Linked DNA regions of Sus scrofa. The protein of the gene in region 2 binds, or shares a complex with, the protein of the main gene of each other region. Links are inferred from orthologs where the notes say so. Each region holds a gene or a part of one and is shown on either strand. Other genes may lie near its edges.

Region 1 (3,517 bases), on a different chromosome or scaffold from region 2:
CAGCTACATGGAATCTAGCTTGAGGCTTTGAAGGCAGGTACACTTGGTTTTGCTTTATTTTTAAGTTGAGAGCTAAGTTTTATTTGGGGTGAAATTAGGACTTAAGCCTGGGAGGTAGCAGCTCAGGTAACCTCGAGAAAAGGCTCCCAGACTTGGTTTTAAATCCTGATTTTGCTGCTAAGTAACTGAGACTTTGGTCCAGTTCCTCAGCTTCCAAGAGGCTGTTTCCTTATCTGCAAAATGGGGAATAGGTATTAAAAAATTTGAATGAATATTTTGATATCATTTTGTTATAGAGAAAAAGTAAGTCATGAGAGGATGAGGTTCTATTACTAAGCTCATGTAACTACAGTATCATAAAGGCAACTTTTTTGGGTATGGCATGCAGAAGTTCCCAGGCCAGGGATCGAACCCTCACCACAAGGGAACTCCATGAAGGCACTATTGTCTGTCTGGTATTATTTAACTCAAGTGGGAATATGCAGAGGTGAGAGAGTTCAGGGTGCCCAAGGGTTTGTAAACAGCATGTCTGTGATTTTACAAGGTAACGTTTTTGGATTATGCAGGTTGTGAGTTTTTGTGGGGTTTTTTTGTTTCTTGCTTTGATGCTTTGCTAACATGAGTTGCTTTATTATATTTAAGACTATATTGGGAGTTCCCATCATGGACAGCAGAAACGAATCTGACTAGGAACCATGAGGTTGCAGGTTTGATCCCTGGCCTCGCTCAGTGGGTTAAGGATCTGGCATTGCTGTGAGCTGTGGTGTGGGTCGCAGACGTGGCTTGGATCCTGCATTGCTGTGGCTCTGGCGCAGGCTGGCAGCAACAGCTGCAATTTGACCCCTGGCCTGGGAACTTCCATATTCTACAAGTGCAGCCCTAAAAAGACAAAAAATAAAAAAATAAGAATATATTGAAATAAGAACACAAACACAGCCTGCATTATGTTTGTTTTTAAAGGAAGTTATCCCAACTTTCGACATGGCTGTCAATGAGATCTTCTTTGACCGTTATCCTGACTCGATCTTAGAACATCAGATTCAAGTAAGACCATTCAATGCATTGAAGACTAAGAATATGAGGAACCTGAATCCAGAAGGTGATTTTTCTTCCACTTTTACTGAGATAGAGATGACATATAGAGGGTAACACTTTTAATAGCAGGAAAATACCTTATGTGAAAGTAAACAAAAACCTCATCAAGGAACTTTAAAAGCATTGGTTGTGGGCTATAAATTGACAAGACCTAGTGACAGATCCAGTCACCCATAAGCTTTTAGATCCACCATACCTATTGTTACCTAAAGTAAAACCATAAAAAAGATACCATAACTCGGTAGCTCTCTAAATTCAGGGTCAGTGTTGAAAACAAATATAAAATGCAGTCCCTGCCCTGAAGCTTACAGAAGAAATGGTGGAAGAGGCAGAAGCATGTGGTGGGTAAGTCTCAGCCCAAGTAGAGGCAGTGCCGGTCCAGTGGGAAGGATTGGGAAGCAGACCTAAGGGCTTCACTCTAGACAGAAAGAAGGGATGTGAGCAGAAGTGAAGCAAGACTTCAGACAGGACGTGATGGCTGCAGCAGGGATGTCTGGGTGGGGCCTGAGGAGCTTAGGCTTTTAATCCTAAGCCAGTGGGGAGCCATTGATCCTTTCTGAGGAGAAAGAATTTCTCCTGAGAAGTTCCTGAGTATGCAGGGTATGTTCAAGTGCAGTTAGGATGCTCCACCATGGACGGTGCCTATAGGAGTGAAAACACAGGGCAGATGTGATGGTTGAGTGAGGTATAAAAGCTGTAGGAAATTAGCAAGTACTCCTGTAGGTAAATGTGCTAAAGGCGCAAATCTCAGTAAAAGCGAAACAACCAATAAACAGCAGCAAATATTGGACTTGGCCATTTACGAAGGAAGAGTCATATTTTCCCTTGGGAACTTGACTCTGGTACCATCCCCACACTGGGAGGTTGTGGAGGGACCCTGGTGGGTAGGAGTTGTCCAGATGAGGGTGCTGGGCTGCTTTATTACTAAAGGGCAAGTTCCAGGGAGGTTGGCAATGACCATGGTTGTGGAAGTCAAGAAACTTCCAGAGATCCAACCATCACAACAGCTACATTTTAAAAGAAGAGGAGGGTTGGTGGGAGGGAGCAGGAGGTTGGGGGGGCACCAGATGGCAGAGGCCACGTGAGCCCTGGTGAGAGCTGGCGGCCTGAGAAGCTCAGCTGTGGGGAAGGTGGTTCTCTGCAGGGTGCTAGTCCTCAGCAGCAGGGGGGCCCGACTCCTGCCCCATGGGTGAGGCTGCGGAGGCTCAGCCTGTTCCCAAGGGCACACGGGAACCCCACCCAGCCCACCCGCCTACCTGGTTCACTAGGAGCCAGGGTCCCCGCGTGTGGCAAGAGTGAGGTCCAGGCGAGGGAACAACATGGGCAAAAGCATGGAGGCAAAAAGTGGAGCTGGACAGGAGGCAGACGAGGGAAGAGATGGGGGTGCCTGGGACAGGGCCCCAGCAAAGAAACAACAGACAAGCAATGGTGTTTGACGTGGGGATGGCCCCTGTGACTGTAGGAGATGGTCACAAGCATGGCTCTCGGCTGCATCCTGGGGCCCACATCTCCAGGTAGCCTTTGCTTGGCCCAGCTCAGCACGGGTAAGTGGACCTAAGGGGTTGGGGGGAGCAAGCCAGACACGGGAAGCGTGTCTGAGGCCAGACCCCAGGGTAGCCAGCGAGACGTCTGCTCTGTGACCCTGGCCATCCCGACACCTCAGTTGAGGCCCTCCTGGCTGGACGTCTGCTCCAGCTCAGAGAGGACAGCTGCCCTCTCCCCACCCTGCAGACATCGACCAGCTCATTGCCATCAGCGGCATGGTGATCAGGACGTCCCAGCTGATCCCCGAGATGCAGGAGGCCTTCTTCCAGTGCCAGGTGTGCGCCCACACGGCCCGGGTGGAGATAGACCGAGGCCGCATTGCGGAGCCCGGCACCTGCGAGCGCTGCCACACCACCCACAGCATGGCGCTCATCCACAACCGCTCCGTCTTCTCCGACAAGCAGATGGTGCGTGCCCCTCCACATGCCCTCTCCACTCCGGACCCCTGAAACCGCACTTCATTTGCTCTGGGGCAGGCGGGCTCATTAGAGGCCTGGGCCGGGCCCTGGGTGCTCCTCTGGGGTCTTGCCAGGGGCAGGGGTTCTGTAAGGGAGCATCCTCAGTTTAGCATCACTTGTGATTAAGTCAAATTTAATGAGATGCTTCTGTGGGAAATACTAAGGTTGGAGAGTCTCTAGCCCATCAGGCAGGCACATGTAAAACCTGAAGGTCCCCAAACGTGGAGGCTAAGTCTGTCAGCTGGCAGGTGGGTGACCCGGCAGCCACTGGGCTGAGAGTGTGTGCCGGCTTCTCGTGCACACTTTATTCCATAGCAGGTTTAATGTGAAAATCTTCCCAAGGAGGTGGAAATAGCTGTGAGCGGGGAGGGCGCGGCCTGTCTTGAGGGTCTGCACGGCTCTTTCAGATCAAGCTCCAG
Region 2 (4,116 bases):
AGAAAGGAGCATATCATGTCATGTAGGGTCACACAGGGAAGTACCTGACGGGCCTGTCAGGAGGCAGAAGGAGGGAGGGGAGGACACCCCTTTACTGAAGGACCCTGAAAACACTCCCAGAGCCTTTACTGTGGTTTCTGTGGGAAGAAATGGGTGAAGCAGAGTAGGCAGGTTTAAACAAATTTAGGATTGGATAGTTTGAATAAGGCTGGTCTCCAACTGTCCAGTTCTTGGCCCTGGGGTGATTTAGGGCGGGGAAATACTGGTTTGGTATGTGGGAGTTAGATAAAGGCTTGGGATATGGGCTCTGGATCAGTTAGTTTGTACACGGAAGGCATGTTCACAGGCAAGTTGTTTGCGACTCTAGGAATTAGCTCACCCTGGGAGGAACAGTTCCTACCCAAGCTGCAAGGCCCCAAGATATCAAAGCCTCATAAAGGACAGAAAATAAAAAACATGATGAATACACATTCCTTTTCCATGAACCCTCTGCTCATGGCTCTATAGCCCAGAATGTCCTTCTTTATGAAGTAAGTTTTGTAGTGCCTCTCTCAACACTGCCACCATCCATAGCCCTGACTAACGCCCCCAAGTCTGGTACCACATCCCCTTCCCACCAGACCAGTGATGGCACATGACTGGCACCCAATCTATGGAATGTCTTGCCACCTATGACCATTGTGGCCTGCCTCAAAAAGAGATGAACTGCCCATTAGATTTCTTCTTTTAAGGATTTAAAATAAAAGCCACAAATGGAGTTAGCCGTTGATGGTAAGGTGAACTGGGAGGTCCTGACATAGACTCAGGACCTCTGCAAGCCACGTGCGCTCCTCCACCACCACCCCCCCATCTACCCTACTATACCTCCTCCGAAAAGTCTGTAATAACTGTCAGGGGCTAGTGTTAGAGTGTTGCTTTGTTTTTAATGTTTCAAGATTAACAGAGATTCTCAGAGACTGACAAACTGTAATAATTAAGCCAGACTGGATCAGGCCTGAGAGGAAGGGCGCAATGGTCTTTTTTAAGCCCCTAAATGTACTGCAAAGTGTTTTTAATTTCATGTAAACATTTAAAAGACCACATAACTCAGTCTAGTGCAGACGCTTCCTGCAGCTTCAACGGCATTTCCTGCTTCTCTTTGAAGTTCTCACCCTGGGCTACACTGCGGGAAGAAAACTTAGTGCGGATCCACCTACTGCGCCCTTACCAAGGAGTTGCGCAAAACCAAATCCGCAGATTTTGTCGATTGCTTCTTCCTGGGAAGACCCGCCTAGATCGACTGCTTCTGTCTGGCCCAACCCCGGGCGCGGGAAAAGAGTTTGAATCCTACCAGGTGGCCGCAAGGACCTCCTCAACCTTCAAAATCCTGACCAGCCTCAGCCACCGCCACCTCCTCCTCCTTCTACATCCCTGACTCCCCGAGGTCTCCAGAACAACGAGAGTGGACCGCCGCCATGTCCGAGGCTTATTTCCGGGTGGAGTCGGGTGCGCTGGGGCCTGAGGAGAACTTTCTTTCCCTGGACGATATCCTGATGTCCCACGAAAAGCTCCCGGTGCGCACTGAGATCCCCATGCCGCGCCTCGGCACTTTCTTCCTGGACCGGAGCGGAGGGGCCGAGACAGACAACACAATCCCTCAGGTAAGCCTTTGGCGCGGATCCCCTAACCAAAAGACTACCACTCCCAGTGGGCCTTACGGCCCTGGGGCCGCATGACCGGGCGCGCTGCCTCCTGGGATCTGTAGTTTTAAGGAGGGGCCCGGAAGTGCGCTAAAGGAGTTCTGTCCGCCGATTCCCCGCGCTCTAGAGTCCTTCTCCCCACCTACTCTCCGCGACCCTTACGGAAACGAAATTTACACTGAGTCGTTGAGCTCCCTCCCACACTCAGTTTTGAAACCAACCAAATTTAGCAGTGTCTTCTCTCCCCGGCATGTGTTCTTGCTTTAGAATTGGCACCGACTGAATACTTGAGGACCAATGGTTCTGACCACTTTTGCCTTAAAACAAAAGTTTTTGCTTCTGTAGGAGCAAATAATATCGGGGAGCCCCAAGTTGCTAATTTCATTCCTGCATAACGATGACAGTATCACCTACCATTTACTGAGTTTTATTGCCAGCATGGATAGGGCAGGGGGAGTATAGTTTTCCGTGTATTAGCCTTTAATTTTTCAACAACCCTACTGTTAAGTGTTGTTACATGGGAGGAAATTGAAGCTCAGAAAGGTTGGGTAACTTGGCCAGGGACTCATTATAAGCGGTGAGCTTGGATTCGAACCTAAGACTGCATGACTTCAAATACGAGTTTGTCCCAGGAACTTGGCTTGTAATGGTTATTTTTGATTTCCTATTTAACCTGAGTTTTGTTTAGAAGGGTGTTTTTGTTTGGTCTGTTTTAATTTTTTTCAAAGTAGGACATATGCAAAGTTTAAAAAGTCAATAGTACCAAAAGATTTATAACAAAACATAGCAGGCCTTGCCTTGCTATGTCCCTTCCCATCTCCACAGTCTATGTTTTTCAGAGTTTCTTCAAGATTCACCTCCGTGTTTCTAAATAATGTTTTAAAGTTTATCTTCTTTGTAAAAAAGAATTTAGACATTCTTTATTGACGGAAAACTCAATATGATAGTGAAGGGTTTAATTCTCTTGCGCGCTGGTAGACAGAGATGTGCCCTACGTACTTTATTCGTATTTCCTTCTTTTTTACCTAACGCCCTATTTCTGTTTCAGGATCCCATCCAGGACAGCACATTGCATTTAGTAGCCATGGGTCCTTAGGCTCCTCATGGCTTTGATAGTTTATCAGACCTTCCTTGGTTTTAATGATCAGGAATTTTGTGAAGTGCTGACCCACTTTTTGGTAGAGTATGTTCCTCATTTGGGATTTGTCTGATGGTTTTCTCATAATTAGACAGTGTTTTGAGGAGGAAGACCATAGAGCATAGAGGTCAAGTGCCCTTTTACCAGGGTCTATACACCATCAACGTGACTTATCATGGTGATAGGAACCTTGATCACTTAGCTGAGGTGGGTTTGTCAGGATTCTTCACTGTAAATTACTCTTTTCACCCTTTCCACACTGTTCTCTCTGGAAGGAAGTTGTTATGTGCAGCTATGCTTAAGGAGTGGGGAATTATGCTCCATTCCTTGAGGGCAGAGTGTCTGCATAAATTATTTAGGATTCTTCTGCATGGGAGATTTGAGTAAAACGTCACATATTTAATTTCATTCTTAGATATAGGACTATTCAGATTTTCTATTCTTGTGTTACTTTTGATATGTTGGTTTTCCTCCTGCTAGGAATTTGAATATTTAAATGTTTAAATATAGTGGTATAATGTTGCTCAGAACATCCTTTTACTCTTTTTTTTTTTTTTTAATTATAGCCTTTTGCTATTCCTTTTTTTTTTTTTTTTTTGTCTTTTTGTCTTTTTTGCCTTTTCTAGGGCTGCTTCCCACGGCATATGGAGGTTCCCAGGTTAGGGGTCTAATCGGAGCTGTAGCCACCGGCCTACGCCAGAGCCACAGCAACGCCAGATCCGAGCCGCATCTGCAACCTACACCACAGCTCACGGCAACGCTGGATCCTTACCCCAATGAGCAAGGCCAGGGATGGAACCTGCAACCTCATGGTTCCTAGTCGGATTCATTTCCGGGCTCCACGATGGGAACTCTTGCATTAGGCTTTTAAAAGAACTAAGTAATGGCTCTGTCAACTTTCTCATTTGTACTTTTAGGTCATTAAGTTCTTATCTTAATTAAAGTACTTTCCTTCTACTTTCTTTGGACTTAATTTTCTTTGTTCTCCTAACATTTTGAGATGGGTACATAGGTCATTGATTTTTCAACTTTATGCTGGGCATTTCTCCTAAGCACAGCTTTAATACATTTCACAAGTTTTAATCTGATTTTCATTTAATCTGATTTTTCATTGTGATTTCTTCTTTGACCCATGGATTATTTAGAAGACTGGTGCTTAGGTCCAAACATTTGGGGATTTTGCTCTGTACATTTTTGGTTTTGATTTCTGGCTTAATTCCCAGTGGTCGAAGAATGTAGTCTGAATCATTTCAGTTTTTCAAAAGTTAACACTTGCTTTAAGCCCCAGCATGAGATCAG

The links. Proteins that work in one complex are often made in the same cells at the same time.
Region 1: GINS3 (region 2) and MCM4 share a complex: the UniProt entries of both Homo sapiens proteins name them as parts of the CMG helicase complex. The link is inferred for Sus scrofa from reciprocal best matches to the Homo sapiens genes GINS3 and MCM4.

Annotation. Positions count from the first base shown.
Region 1 is NC_010446.5:79,680,461-79,683,977, reverse strand, and holds part of MCM4 (DNA replication licensing factor MCM4), read left to right. Parts: intron 1-960; coding exon 961-1,099; intron 1,100-2,826; coding exon 2,827-3,047; intron 3,048-3,505; coding exon 3,506-3,517. UniProt on the Homo sapiens protein: Acts as a component of the MCM2-7 complex (MCM complex) which is the replicative helicase essential for 'once per cell cycle' DNA replication initiation and elongation in eukaryotic cells.
Region 2 is NC_010448.4:20,161,381-20,165,496, forward strand, and holds the start of GINS3 (DNA replication complex GINS protein PSF3), read left to right. Parts: upstream 1-1,315; 5' UTR 1,316-1,454; coding exon 1,455-1,640; intron 1,641-4,116. UniProt on the Homo sapiens protein: Required for correct functioning of the GINS complex, a complex that plays an essential role in the initiation of DNA replication, and progression of DNA replication forks.